Ovis aries: one gene and its partners. The main gene of each other region encodes a partner of the protein of the gene in region 3 in a complex. Links are inferred from orthologs where the notes say so. Each region holds a gene or a part of one and is shown on either strand. Other genes may lie near its edges. The genes, in order: AP1B1, IQSEC2 and ARF1.

Region 1 (3,747 bases), on a different chromosome or scaffold from region 3:
TTCATTCCTCTCTGTGTGGAGAGAAAAAGAACACAAAAATCATTCCTGGGCTGTGAAAATTTATCAGTGATCTATCTTAGGCAAAAAGACCTATTCAGAAAAAGAAATACCTGCAAGTAACAGAAGCCCCTTTGATTTCTGGAAACACATTGGAGCTCAAAACTCATAACCAAGCCATGCTGGCTCACCATTAGCACATCACACTTTGGTGCCAAGAATGGGGGTTTTCGGGAAGTAAGCAAGCAAGTCATGCAACAGCTTCAAGGATAACTAGAGAAAGATGAAAGTCCAAGCCCAGAGCTAGCAGGATCAACAGATTGAACTTGTTCTGAAACACTTTAAGGAAGTGAAACAAGAAGGATGGGAGAGGTCCTGTGTACACAAAGGACTCTGCAGAGAGAAGTAACACCCCCAAAACCAGCCCCCAGGAAACATCAACTGCCTAGGGTCAAGGCACTCACCACAACAGACTCTGCACAAAGTCCTTGTCCAGCTTCCACACGAGTCACTGCTGAGGGGGAGGTGAAGGTGGTGGTATTATTGTAGAGCTGAGGGATAGGTGGCTCTGGGTCACGCTACCAAGAAGCTGCTGATCTGGGGGGAGAATCCACGGCTGACAGATGGGGGGACAAGGAAGGCTCTTTCCACCACACCACTGAGCTCTCCAAGTCACTCAGGTGAAGCCTCTACTCAAACTACACTCAACAGTTAAACTTTATACAAAGTCTGAGGGACCTGAGTCTTTGAACACTAGTGAAGCCACTCTTCATGAAGCTGCCCTGAGGGGTTGAAGGAGCCTGGTGGGCTCAACTCAGGACAGGGAGCCAGACACTCTGAGCGCTGCTCCTGTTCCTACCATCTGTGACGAGTCACTTTATCTCAAATCCTCCCTTGGAAGGATGGGGATCAGGTGACAATATTAAGTTTCTGTGAATTCAATGGAACTAGGAAAACAGACAGTGGAGTTTAAAAACAGGTACTGCACAGTAATATTTATACCTCAGCTTTCTTTATAAGTGCGTGGAAATCCTCACAGGTTCACTAAGGCTTGTAAAACCCCGGAGTGTGTAGGAAGTCAGCAGGTCTGTGCTGCTATCAGGGAAACTGAAGCCGAACTGCAGCACGTGAATGTCTGCAACCGAGTAAAGCTCAGACTCACAAGACCTAATCCTCTGGCCATGAAACCACCTCACTGTCTCCCAGGCAAGATGTGTGTTCTCCAGTCAAGAAGGCATGGGACCTGCACTTTTCTCAGAGACTCAGGTCCTTGCCTTGGGAATGCTCTTCAAGAACCTAGGGCCAAAAGATACCCTAGGGGTCATGTGGTTCCTCCCCTTACTTGAAAAAGAATGCAGCTTGACCACTCTCAAGAGAGGTGCAGCATATTCTTAAATTCATTGCATGGCTAGACTGTTTTATGTCTCGCAGTTCTCAACAGTTGGGAAAAAGGCCCCTTCTCACCCTGAACAGAAATCAGTTATAGCAATGGCCTAATTTCATCCTAAAGAAAGGGAATCAAATGCTCCTTAGGAAGGTAGATGAGAAGAAAGCAAGCTACATCTCTAAATGCTATTGTTCAGTCGCTCAGTCATGTCCAACTCTGCGACCCCATGGACTGCAGCCCACCAGGCTCCGCTGTCCATGGGATTCTCCAGGCAAGAATACTGGAGTGGGTTGCCATTTCCTTCTCCAGGGAAATATATCTTTATATAGATGCAAATAAATTTAATGGCGGCTAAAGATATTAAACAGCCCCTAAATGCCAACCTTGCTTCAGTCTCAGCACGCTGCAGGTCCCTGCGAGCCCAGGTAGGAACCCTGGCATTCATCCATACTACTCGATTGACCTTACAGGTGTGATTTAACTTTTCTGTGCCTCAGTTTCTTCGTGGATAAAATGGGGATAATAATAGTAGCTACCTCACCAAGATTGCTGGGAAGTTTAAATGCGGCATTCTAAGCACGGTGCCTGCACACAGCTCAATAACCAGCAGCTAGCATTCCCATCAGTAGTTCTGGCGTTATTACAGGGGTCCCCAGTTACCTCGTCTGTGAGGCGCCTAGGGACAGACCAATCCTCTGTTTAACCCCACCCTAGAGGCGGTGGCGCCAGGCCGTTTCATATTTTTTTTTCTGTTTTTGAACCTTGGCAAAGAGATAAGGCCCTTAACGACAAGGAGGCCTCAGGACAGCCACGGCGCTGAGTGTGCAGGGGGAACCAAGACCCGAAGAGAAGTTTCCTGTCAGGCCAGGCACAAGCTCCCCTGGGCCTAAGTCTAGGAGTCTCTACGGGAGGGCGCCCCGGCAGGGACTGCGGACCTGGGACGGCTGGGGTGCACGCCGGCGGCCAAGGGGGCGCGAATGAATGAACCCGCAGCCCTTCTGCCTCCTCCCGTCCTGGGAAGCCACTCTAGACCCTCCAGCGCCCTGTACTCTCCGTGACCTTTGACCCCAGAAATCCCTCACCTCAGACTCCCGACTCCCCGCCCCACTTCTTCTCTGGCCTCGCCAGGCTCCCCGCTTCCTCACCCGCAGGTCCGAAAGGCTCCTGACGCCACGGCGCGGCTCGACGCGACAGGAAAATGTCCGCGGCCTTGTCCTCCCGCTCTCCCGGTGCGCCCGCGCCGCCGGACGCTCGGAGCCCCGCGGCTGTCACCTGCCAGGCGGAAGTGAGCTGCCCGCGCGCGGGCACTTCCGGTGGACGCACAGGCTGGGGGCGGGGTCAAGGGTACAACCCGGGCGGGGGCGGTGGCAGCGAGGCGGGGCCAGGGGGCGGGGCGTCGGAGTTAACTCCGCCCTCGACACGTTGCTGCTCCGCCAAGCAAAAAATACCACAAGATGGTTGGATAGCATCACCGACTCAATGGACATGAGTTTGAGTAAACTCCGGGAGTTGGTGATGGACAGGGAGGCCTGGCGTGCTGCAGTCCATGGGGTCGCAAAGAGTCGAACACGACTGAGCGACTGAACTGAGCTGAACTGAGCCTATATAACATGACGGAGATGGAGAAGATCATAGAGACTTTGAGGTCTATTTTTCTTTGTTTTGAGGTCAGCTTCGCTTCTGTGTTACAAACAGGAAAACTCAGTCTCTGAGAGGCGCCAGTGTTGCTCAAGATCACTTACCTGTGAAGAGAAGAGTTAAACTAGAGCTGTAAGTCTAACCTACCGCTTGAAGCAGCCCTTCGGGGAATTCCGCGTAAACCTCACACCTCCAAGGAGAACTTAAAAGTTCCATTTCCCGTTTTGCTGGGTCGGCCAGGCCAGGGTTGCTATAGGTATCTCACTCCCAGCTCTGGTATTATTAACTTTCTCCTCCTCCTAGATAATTTCTGATCATCTTCTTAAAAACATCTAAAATAATATTTGCATTATGGAAATATACGAGTAAGCAAAAGGCTATGTAAAAAATCCTGCAATCCTGCCACCCTGAGACAATAATTTTTAAGATTTTGGTGAATATCCTTCCAGACTCGATATATCCATTCAGTATTTTTAATTCACCAAGATATTGGTGAATTGGTGAATTATTGTTTCCCAAAACAATAAATACATTTCTACTTGGTGTTTTACAATATCTGCATGGAATTGCGCAGTATGAACGGCACCACTGTTCTCCGAAACAGTCCCCTACAGTTGTGCACTTTATCACTAGTCTTTTAATATTATAAAATGTATAATATTATATTATACATTTTATATATTTATGTATATATAAATATATTTACTTATATATTATATATAATT
Region 2 (3,647 bases), on a different chromosome or scaffold from region 3:
AGCTAGAGAGAAATGCCATCCACAAAATGGCGGCAGCAGGATCACTGCCTCCAGGAGTCTAAGTGCCTGCAGCAGGGTCGGTAGGGGCGACAAGGTGGGAATGGGAACACGTACTTATTGAACAGGTTGAGGCCAATTCGGTAGTGCCGCCTCTGCACCACATCGTTGTTGAAGGCTGGCGAGTCCCAGCTGTGCCTGGTCTCCCGCTGGTAGGTCTGCTTGCACAGGCCGGTGGCTGGAGGCTCCCTCAGGCTGTCCCGCGAAGAGGAGCCAGAGCTGCAGTTGATGGTCTCGTTGGAATTGCTGGAGCTCTCAAGGCTCTCGTTATCTCCACCATCAGAGTTCTCGCCTGCTGCCTCGCACTTCCCCAACCTCCGACCCCCAGCCACACCACTGGGCCCAGTGCCACTGTTGGGGGCTGGTGGTAGGGGCCCTGGCGGGGCTGGGGCTGGGCCCTCTGGGGCCGGGTAGTGGCGGTGTGGGATTGGGGCCCTGCCTGGTGGCCCCTTGTGCTTCAGGGTCCCATGGGGGCTACAGCCATCAGCCTCATACACGAGCTGACGGTGGACAGAGCCGCGATCTGAGCGGTCACTCAGGTCCACGGAGCTGTCACTGGGAGGTTCAATGGTAAGCAGGGGCAGGTGGGCAGCCCGCAGCCGGAAATCCCGACATTCCAAGCACCCAGGACCCCTGCGAGTGCCTTCCTCACGGCTACCATCTTCCCGGGACCCTGCTGGCACTGGTGGAGGAACTGGAGGGAGAGGGGCTGGTGCCCAGAACTCAGGTCTGCCCTGGGCGGGGGGCTCTGTGCTAGGCAGTCGTTCAGGGGATGGTGGGGGAACTGGGTCATCCAAGTAGAGGGGAAGGTCACTGAAGGATGTGGCCGAGCTGTCCTCTTGCTGTTCCTTTGACTCTCGCTTCTCCAGCTGGGCTGACCCTGGTTCCTCAGACATGGGCCCCGATGGGTGGCAGTTCAAGGCCTCGTCAATGGATTCAGCCAGAGACTTTACCTGAGGGGGAGGGGAAGGGGGAGGAGGGGAAAGGAGAAAAAGGAGGGAAAGATGAAGGACAGTGGGATGGTGAAAGGGTGGGAATGAGGGAGGGAGGGGAAAAAAAGGGGCGGGGGGATCTTCCTGGTGGGGCAGCCAGAAAAGTGCTTCCCCTCCCCTACCTCCCCAGATTCTCTGCAGGACATAACTCCCAGGGAGCCATTGTGAGCTCACAGGACCTGGAACTTATGCCCACAAGTTCCCTTCTCAGACATCCCAATACCTTCTTCACGTCCATATAGACCCAAGCCAAATGCCACCTCCTCACTAATCCCAAGCCACATTCCTGCCTCAGCCTTCCCTTAGGGTAAACCAAAATCCCATCTGCCTCTGGGCTCCCGAAGCCCTCTGTCTGGTTCTCTTAGGAAATCTATGATATTTAGCCTCGAGAATCTGGACCAAAGCTGGCCTCACTCTGGTATCTAGCCTCCCAACTGGTCCCTAATGATCCCCACCTCCTGCTATTCACACCCTCATGTACCATAGTGTCCCAGGGTCGGTCTGTTGGACCGGCAGCATCTGGCAAATGTGATGGGATGTCACTTCCGAGATTAGGTTAGGAAAGACTGCAGCTTCTATCCTGAGTACTCTCACTCGCTTGTGCTCCCTCTCTCAGATCCCTCGCTCTGGCGGAAGCCACACTGTGAGCAGTCCTATAGAGAGGCCCATGTGGCAAGGCCCTGAATCCTCCTGCCAAGAGCCAAACGAGTGAGCTTGGAAGCAGACCCATCAACCCCGGTCAAGCCTTTAGAGACTACAGTCCCAACCTATAACTTGATCACAGCCTCATGAGAGACCCTATGCGAGAGCCACCAGTCAAGCCACCCCAAGACTCCTGGCCCTCAGAAACTATGTGGGATAATAACTGTTTGTTGTTTAAGCTCAGTCTTTACATTCAGTTTTAAGCTACTAAATTTTGGGATCATTTGCTATGCAGCAATAGATACTTCCCCATTAGACTTGAATAGCACTGAGAGGGGGGCCCAGGCCTGGTTCCTGAATCTCCCCACCAGACTATGAGGCCAGTACTTGAGGGATGGGTCCAGGCTGGGTTTCTCTCTTTTTAGCTCAGCTTGACACAGAAGAGGTGTTCAATGAAATGTGGCATATGAATGCGTAAATGAGTGATTTAGATCTTCTCTTTAATACTTCTTTCCTGTCTTCTATCTGCTTCCTCTCCCAACCCCATCACCAACTCCAGGGAAGCATGACCAAGCTTAGGGCAGGGCCAGATCACAGAGGTTAGAGCAGAATGATTTCTTCTCTTATACACTTTCATTTATTCATTCAACAATTTTTACCAAATATCTTTTTGGTTTTAGGAAGGAAACTAACACGTACTTAGCAATGCCATATACTAGGTGCTTTCAGATATATTATCGAGTTGAACTCAGCCTTCCAAACAGCTCTAAAAAGATGGTTTTAGCTTCATGTTATTGATCATGTTTCAGTGGAGTTAAACAGTTTACCCATGGTCACATAGCTGGGAAATGCCAGAACTGGGATTTGTACCTGATCAGCTGCGCTGACACACTCCAAGCCTAGAATGATCTCCCACCACTATCACTGCCACTTACATTCCCACCCTTCCCTGCTTTTCCTGATGCAATGCTTATGCAAGAAACACCCTTCTGACTATCTCTAACTTGCTAACTCTTCGCTGCCTGCTAAGGCCCAGCTCCAGTGCTGTTTTCTCAAAGAAGCCTGCTCTCGTCCTCCCAGAAGAAAATTTCCTCTCCCTCCTCTGGGTTCCCACAGCACTATATGGGATCTCTTCTCACGGCTCTGAGCACACTCTTTCAGGAAACAGTCCTGTGCACATGTGCCTGCTATTTCCTGCTTGCTTGGGGAGATCCTTGAGAAAAAGAATCCTGGCCAATTCACCTGTCTCCCCCACAGTGCCCAGCACAGAGCCTGGTCCATGATCGTGTGGTGTAAGGGAAAGCTTTGGAACCAGACAGAGCTGAGTCCTGATCCAATTTGGAAAAGTCACTTCACCTCTCAGGGTTGTGGAGCCTCAATTTCCTCCTCTGTAAAACCAGGATAGCACCCCCAGTCTCGAAGGCCATTTTGAGGCATATAGAGGACCTGATATAAAGTAGGAGCTGTTAGTTAGGCCTTGATCTGATAGTGGCTCATGTTCCAGACTGAGAACTTGCTTGTTTGAACAATATAATTTTTCTCTTGCCAATCCTTTCTCATCACCCTCACGGTCCCTACTCAGATGGTAGCTGTTTATTGTTCTCAAAACAACAACTTGTTGGGCAACTTCCTTGAAGTACAGGTAAAAGGTTGTAGTAGTAGCCAGAGCATGGAGATGGAGAGGAAAGGCCCTTTTCAGGGATGCTGACCTGTTTGGAGAAGGAGTCCTCAAGCTCCGTGATGTCGTTAGAAAACTCTCCAGATGTGGTGACGGAGCTTCCCCCACCATCGATGCCCCCTCCGCAGGAGCCGCCATATGGGAGCCCCCGTTCAAGCCGGTGGCTCCGGGCCCCAGCCATGGCACCCTCGTCCAGCGAGGCAGGCTTGCCCTCGAAGTACGCGGGGTTCTGTGCCTTCTCATACTCCTCAAAGGAGAACTGCATTCGCATGTTGGAA
Region 3 (2,912 bases):
ACTCAGGCCGTCACCGCAGAACCTACATTAGGCACATTTCTCCCTTCTGTGTGTTCAAGTGTTCTCCTTATTTTGTATTTGTAACTATTTTAAAAAATGCACTGAGTTTGGGTTAAAAACCAACCACCAAAATGGATCTCAACACAGACCTAAAGCCCAGAGGAGGAGTATTGGGCTCGTCTGACACACAACTCCTGGATGACCCGTGTGCCTAAAATCCCTTCTGAGTACTAAACAGTGGGTTGATTTTCTTTTTACAATAAAAAAAGCTGAGTAATATTGCATAGGAGTACCAGAAACTGCCTCATTGGAAACAAAAACTATTTACATTAAATAAAAACCCAGTTGCAGGCTGCGTCTGCACATTTACAGCATGGTGAAGCACACTGTGACCGACCATGGAGACAGCTTCTGGCACTCACACCACAGGGGCACGTTTGCCACATGAGAGTAAAGCGAGGGTAGAAGGAGGGAGTGAGAGGGGAGGAGAGAGGATGACAGCTCATTTCTGGTTCCGGAGCTGATTGGACAGCCAGTCCAGTCCCTCGTAAAGCCCGTCCCCGCTGGTGGCGCAGGTAGCCTGTATGTACCAGTTCCTGTGGCGCAGAGAGTGTAGGCCCAGCTTGTCCGTGATCTCGGCCGCGTTCATGGCATTAGGGAGGTCCTGGGGGTGGCAGCACAGCAGGCGTGGGTCAGGGGGAGTGCATGGAACCCTTTCTACCTGACCTGTGGCCCCCCAGTCAGACCTCCAGCCCTGAGAGGCTGGCTGCCTGACGTGCACCCCCACTGGCACACAGGGTGTTCAGTCACACGTACCTGTTTGTTAGCAAACACGAGCAGAACGGCGTCCCTGAGCTCGTCTTCTGCCAACATCCTCATGAGCTCCTCGCGGGCCTCATTCACACGCTCTCTGTCATTGCTGTCAACCACAAAGATGAGGCCTGCAGAGGGGACAGTAAGCGTGACTGCAGGCACCCGGGACACCCCGAGCCCCACTCCTGAGGCGTGTAACGGGGCAGCTCACTCATACCTTGTGTGTTTTGAAAGTAGTGGCGCCACAGAGGCCGGATCTTGTCCTGGCCGCCCACGTCCCACACAGTGAAGCTAATGTTCTTGTACTCCACGGTCTCCACGTTGAAGCCTGGAAGAGAGCCGGGTGAGCCTATCCCCAGGGCCACCACCACCTCCCAGCCTCCCAAGGCCCAGCGTCCTCACCAATAGTGGGAATGGTGGTCACAATTTCACCCAGCTTCAGTTTGTACAGGATGGTGGTCTTTCCCGCAGCATCTAGGCCCACCATGAGAATGCGCATTTCTTTTTTGCCAAAAAGGCCCTTGAAGAGGTTTGCAAAGATATTCCCCATGCTGCACACCGGTGGGGGCAACACTGGCCAGAGAAACCTGCAGGAACAAGGAGTCCTGGGGTCTTTTTCTGTGCTGCCCAGGGCCAGGCAAGCAGGAGCAGCTCAGAGACCGCTCACCCAGAGCCAGGCTGAGGCAGCTGCTCCTCTCACAAGCTGATGAAATTCTGGTTCCTATCCAAAAGAAAACGGTCCTGCCCACCTACCTCTTGAGCCTCTAAATCAGCCTAACAAGGCAGCATATGGGACTCTTAGAACAAGGCTGACTGGAATGTGAAGCGGCTGCTCCATCATCTGAGGAACTTATAGCCAAGGCCTGAGGGCACCTTACCTCTAAGTCCTCCAACCCGCCACTCTGGGGTGCAGTAGTGTGGCTTTCAAATGGACGCTAGGCTCTCCATAACCTAATGCACAGTTCTTCAAGGGGCCAGAAACAACCACTTCAAGGCCCTACCATGTCTCCCAACTGCCCCAAGTCTCGATGAAGCAGAGTTCAATGGTAAGACAACTAACACCTGAGAACCTAGGAGGGCCCTGGCCAAGACCAGGAGCCAGCCCTTCCCAACATGCTGAGAGCTCAGCACACCCTGCAGGCAGGACTGGCTGAGTGAGAACACCCAGGGCTCAAGAGCAGCACACCTGCTGCTCAGTCCAAGAGTATTCAGCCCAAGGGTGAGCCCACAGCATGGCCACGTTAGGGAGCACCTTGCCAAGACCTGTGGTCAGCGCTGGTCGGAGAGGTGGCCTGCGCGGTGCAGCCACGAGTGTGCAGAAGCGCACGAGTGTGCAGACGCGCACGAGCGCTGTGTCTGCACCGCCCCCCACCCCCCGCCAGCTCGCCTCACTCAGCAGAGCAGACTGGGAGCAGCCACTGAGCTGACTGGACCCCAGGTCCGAGCCCAGGCCCCGACACCCAGACCTGCAGGAAGGGGTGAGTGATCACAGAGGTGGGGATCTCTTGTACTGGAAGACCCACATATGGCCTCTCCACACTCAGTATATTCATCCTTCAACTATTTTATTTCCAAACAGGGCTTTAGGAAAAAAACAGTCACTTTCTCAAATGCTTAGGAAATCTGGACTTAGCACCTAAGGTGAAGTCAAGCTGTGGAGGGCTGAGCAGCCTTCAACTGGGCAGATTCTGTGCGAGTGTTGACAGAAAACCAAATCAACCACAGAGAGCTTGTTCTAAGCTGATGGGAGATGCTCACACCTCATCACTGGGAGGGTGCTGGTGGAGGCTATTGTTGAGGTTGGGAAGGAGTCTTGCCCTGCATACCTAACCTCCCAGAAGTAACTATGAGCTTCCCAGTGTTTGAACTTTGGATGGATACTGCTTGGGTAAGAGGCCAGTTCCACGGAGGACGCAGATACGGGCCTGCCACAGGCACTCCCCCCTCCATTCTACGTAGGGGTTGTGCCCCAGACCCCCACCACCCCACGTCAACTCTGATGACAGGCTCACGTGGAGCTGCCAGGTCTCCATCGTAAGCCCCTTTCTGCCTTAGCCATCAGGGAGCATCTGGGGACTATGTACACGTTCCGCTTCTCA

What was found.
Region 1: the proteins of ARF1 (region 3) and AP1B1 are in contact, whole or in part, in a cryo-EM structure (PDB 7R4H), measured with the Homo sapiens proteins. The link is inferred for Ovis aries from reciprocal best matches to the Homo sapiens genes ARF1 and AP1B1. Residues at the interface, in NP_001019397.1 of Homo sapiens: Glu17, Met18, Tyr35, Ile46, Thr48, Ile49, Gly50, Phe51, Asn52, Val53, Glu54, Thr64, Trp66, Lys73, Leu77, Arg79, His80, Tyr81, Gln83, Asn84; in NP_001118.3 of Homo sapiens: Asn23, Asp25, Pro52, Asp53, Val55, Asn56, Met58, Gln59, Met83, Ile85, Met86, Ala87, Val88, Asn89, Thr90, Val92, Lys93, Tyr121.
Region 2: the proteins of ARF1 (region 3) and IQSEC2 are in contact, whole or in part, in a crystal structure (PDB 6FAE), measured with the Homo sapiens proteins. The link is inferred for Ovis aries from reciprocal best matches to the Homo sapiens genes ARF1 and IQSEC2. Residues at the interface, in NP_001019397.1 of Homo sapiens: Arg19, Gly24, Leu25, Asp26, Ala27, Lys30, Thr31, Ile46, Pro47, Thr48, Ile49, Gly50, Phe51, Asn52, Val53, Glu54, Thr55, Thr64, Trp66, Asp67, Val68, Gly69, Gly70, Gln71, Lys73, Ile74, Pro76, Leu77, Trp78, His80; in NP_001104595.1 of Homo sapiens: Arg810, Gln811, Gln841, Arg845, Val846, Gln847, Gly848, Glu849, Ala850, Gln851, Val853, Glu854, Glu858, Asp879, Phe882, Ile883, Phe886, Ala887, Ile889, Leu890, Asn892, Thr893, Asp894, Tyr896, Ser897, Pro898, Ser899, Val900, Arg904, Met906.

What each region holds. Positions count from the first base shown.
Region 1 is NC_056070.1:68,660,015-68,663,761, forward strand, and holds the start of AP1B1 (AP-1 complex subunit beta-1), read right to left. Parts: upstream 2,677-3,747; 5' UTR 2,530-2,676; exon of another isoform or gene 2,467-2,529; intron 512-2,466; 5' UTR 462-511; intron 1-461. UniProt on the Homo sapiens protein: Subunit of clathrin-associated adaptor protein complex 1 that plays a role in protein sorting in the late-Golgi/trans-Golgi network (TGN) and/or endosomes.
Region 2 is NC_056080.1:51,139,296-51,142,942, forward strand, and holds part of IQSEC2 (IQ motif and SEC7 domain-containing protein 2), read right to left. Parts: coding exon 3,401-3,647; intron 1,011-3,400; coding exon 115-1,010; intron 1-114. UniProt on the Homo sapiens protein: Is a guanine nucleotide exchange factor for the ARF GTP-binding proteins.
Region 3 is NC_056058.1:2,770,668-2,773,579, forward strand, and holds ARF1 (ADP-ribosylation factor 1), read right to left. Parts: upstream 1,364-2,912; coding exon 1,216-1,363; intron 1,142-1,215; coding exon 1,031-1,141; intron 942-1,030; coding exon 817-941; intron 665-816; coding exon 503-664; downstream 1-502. UniProt on the Homo sapiens protein: Small GTPase involved in protein trafficking between different compartments. Modulates vesicle budding and uncoating within the Golgi complex. In its GTP-bound form, triggers the recruitment of coatomer proteins to the Golgi membrane.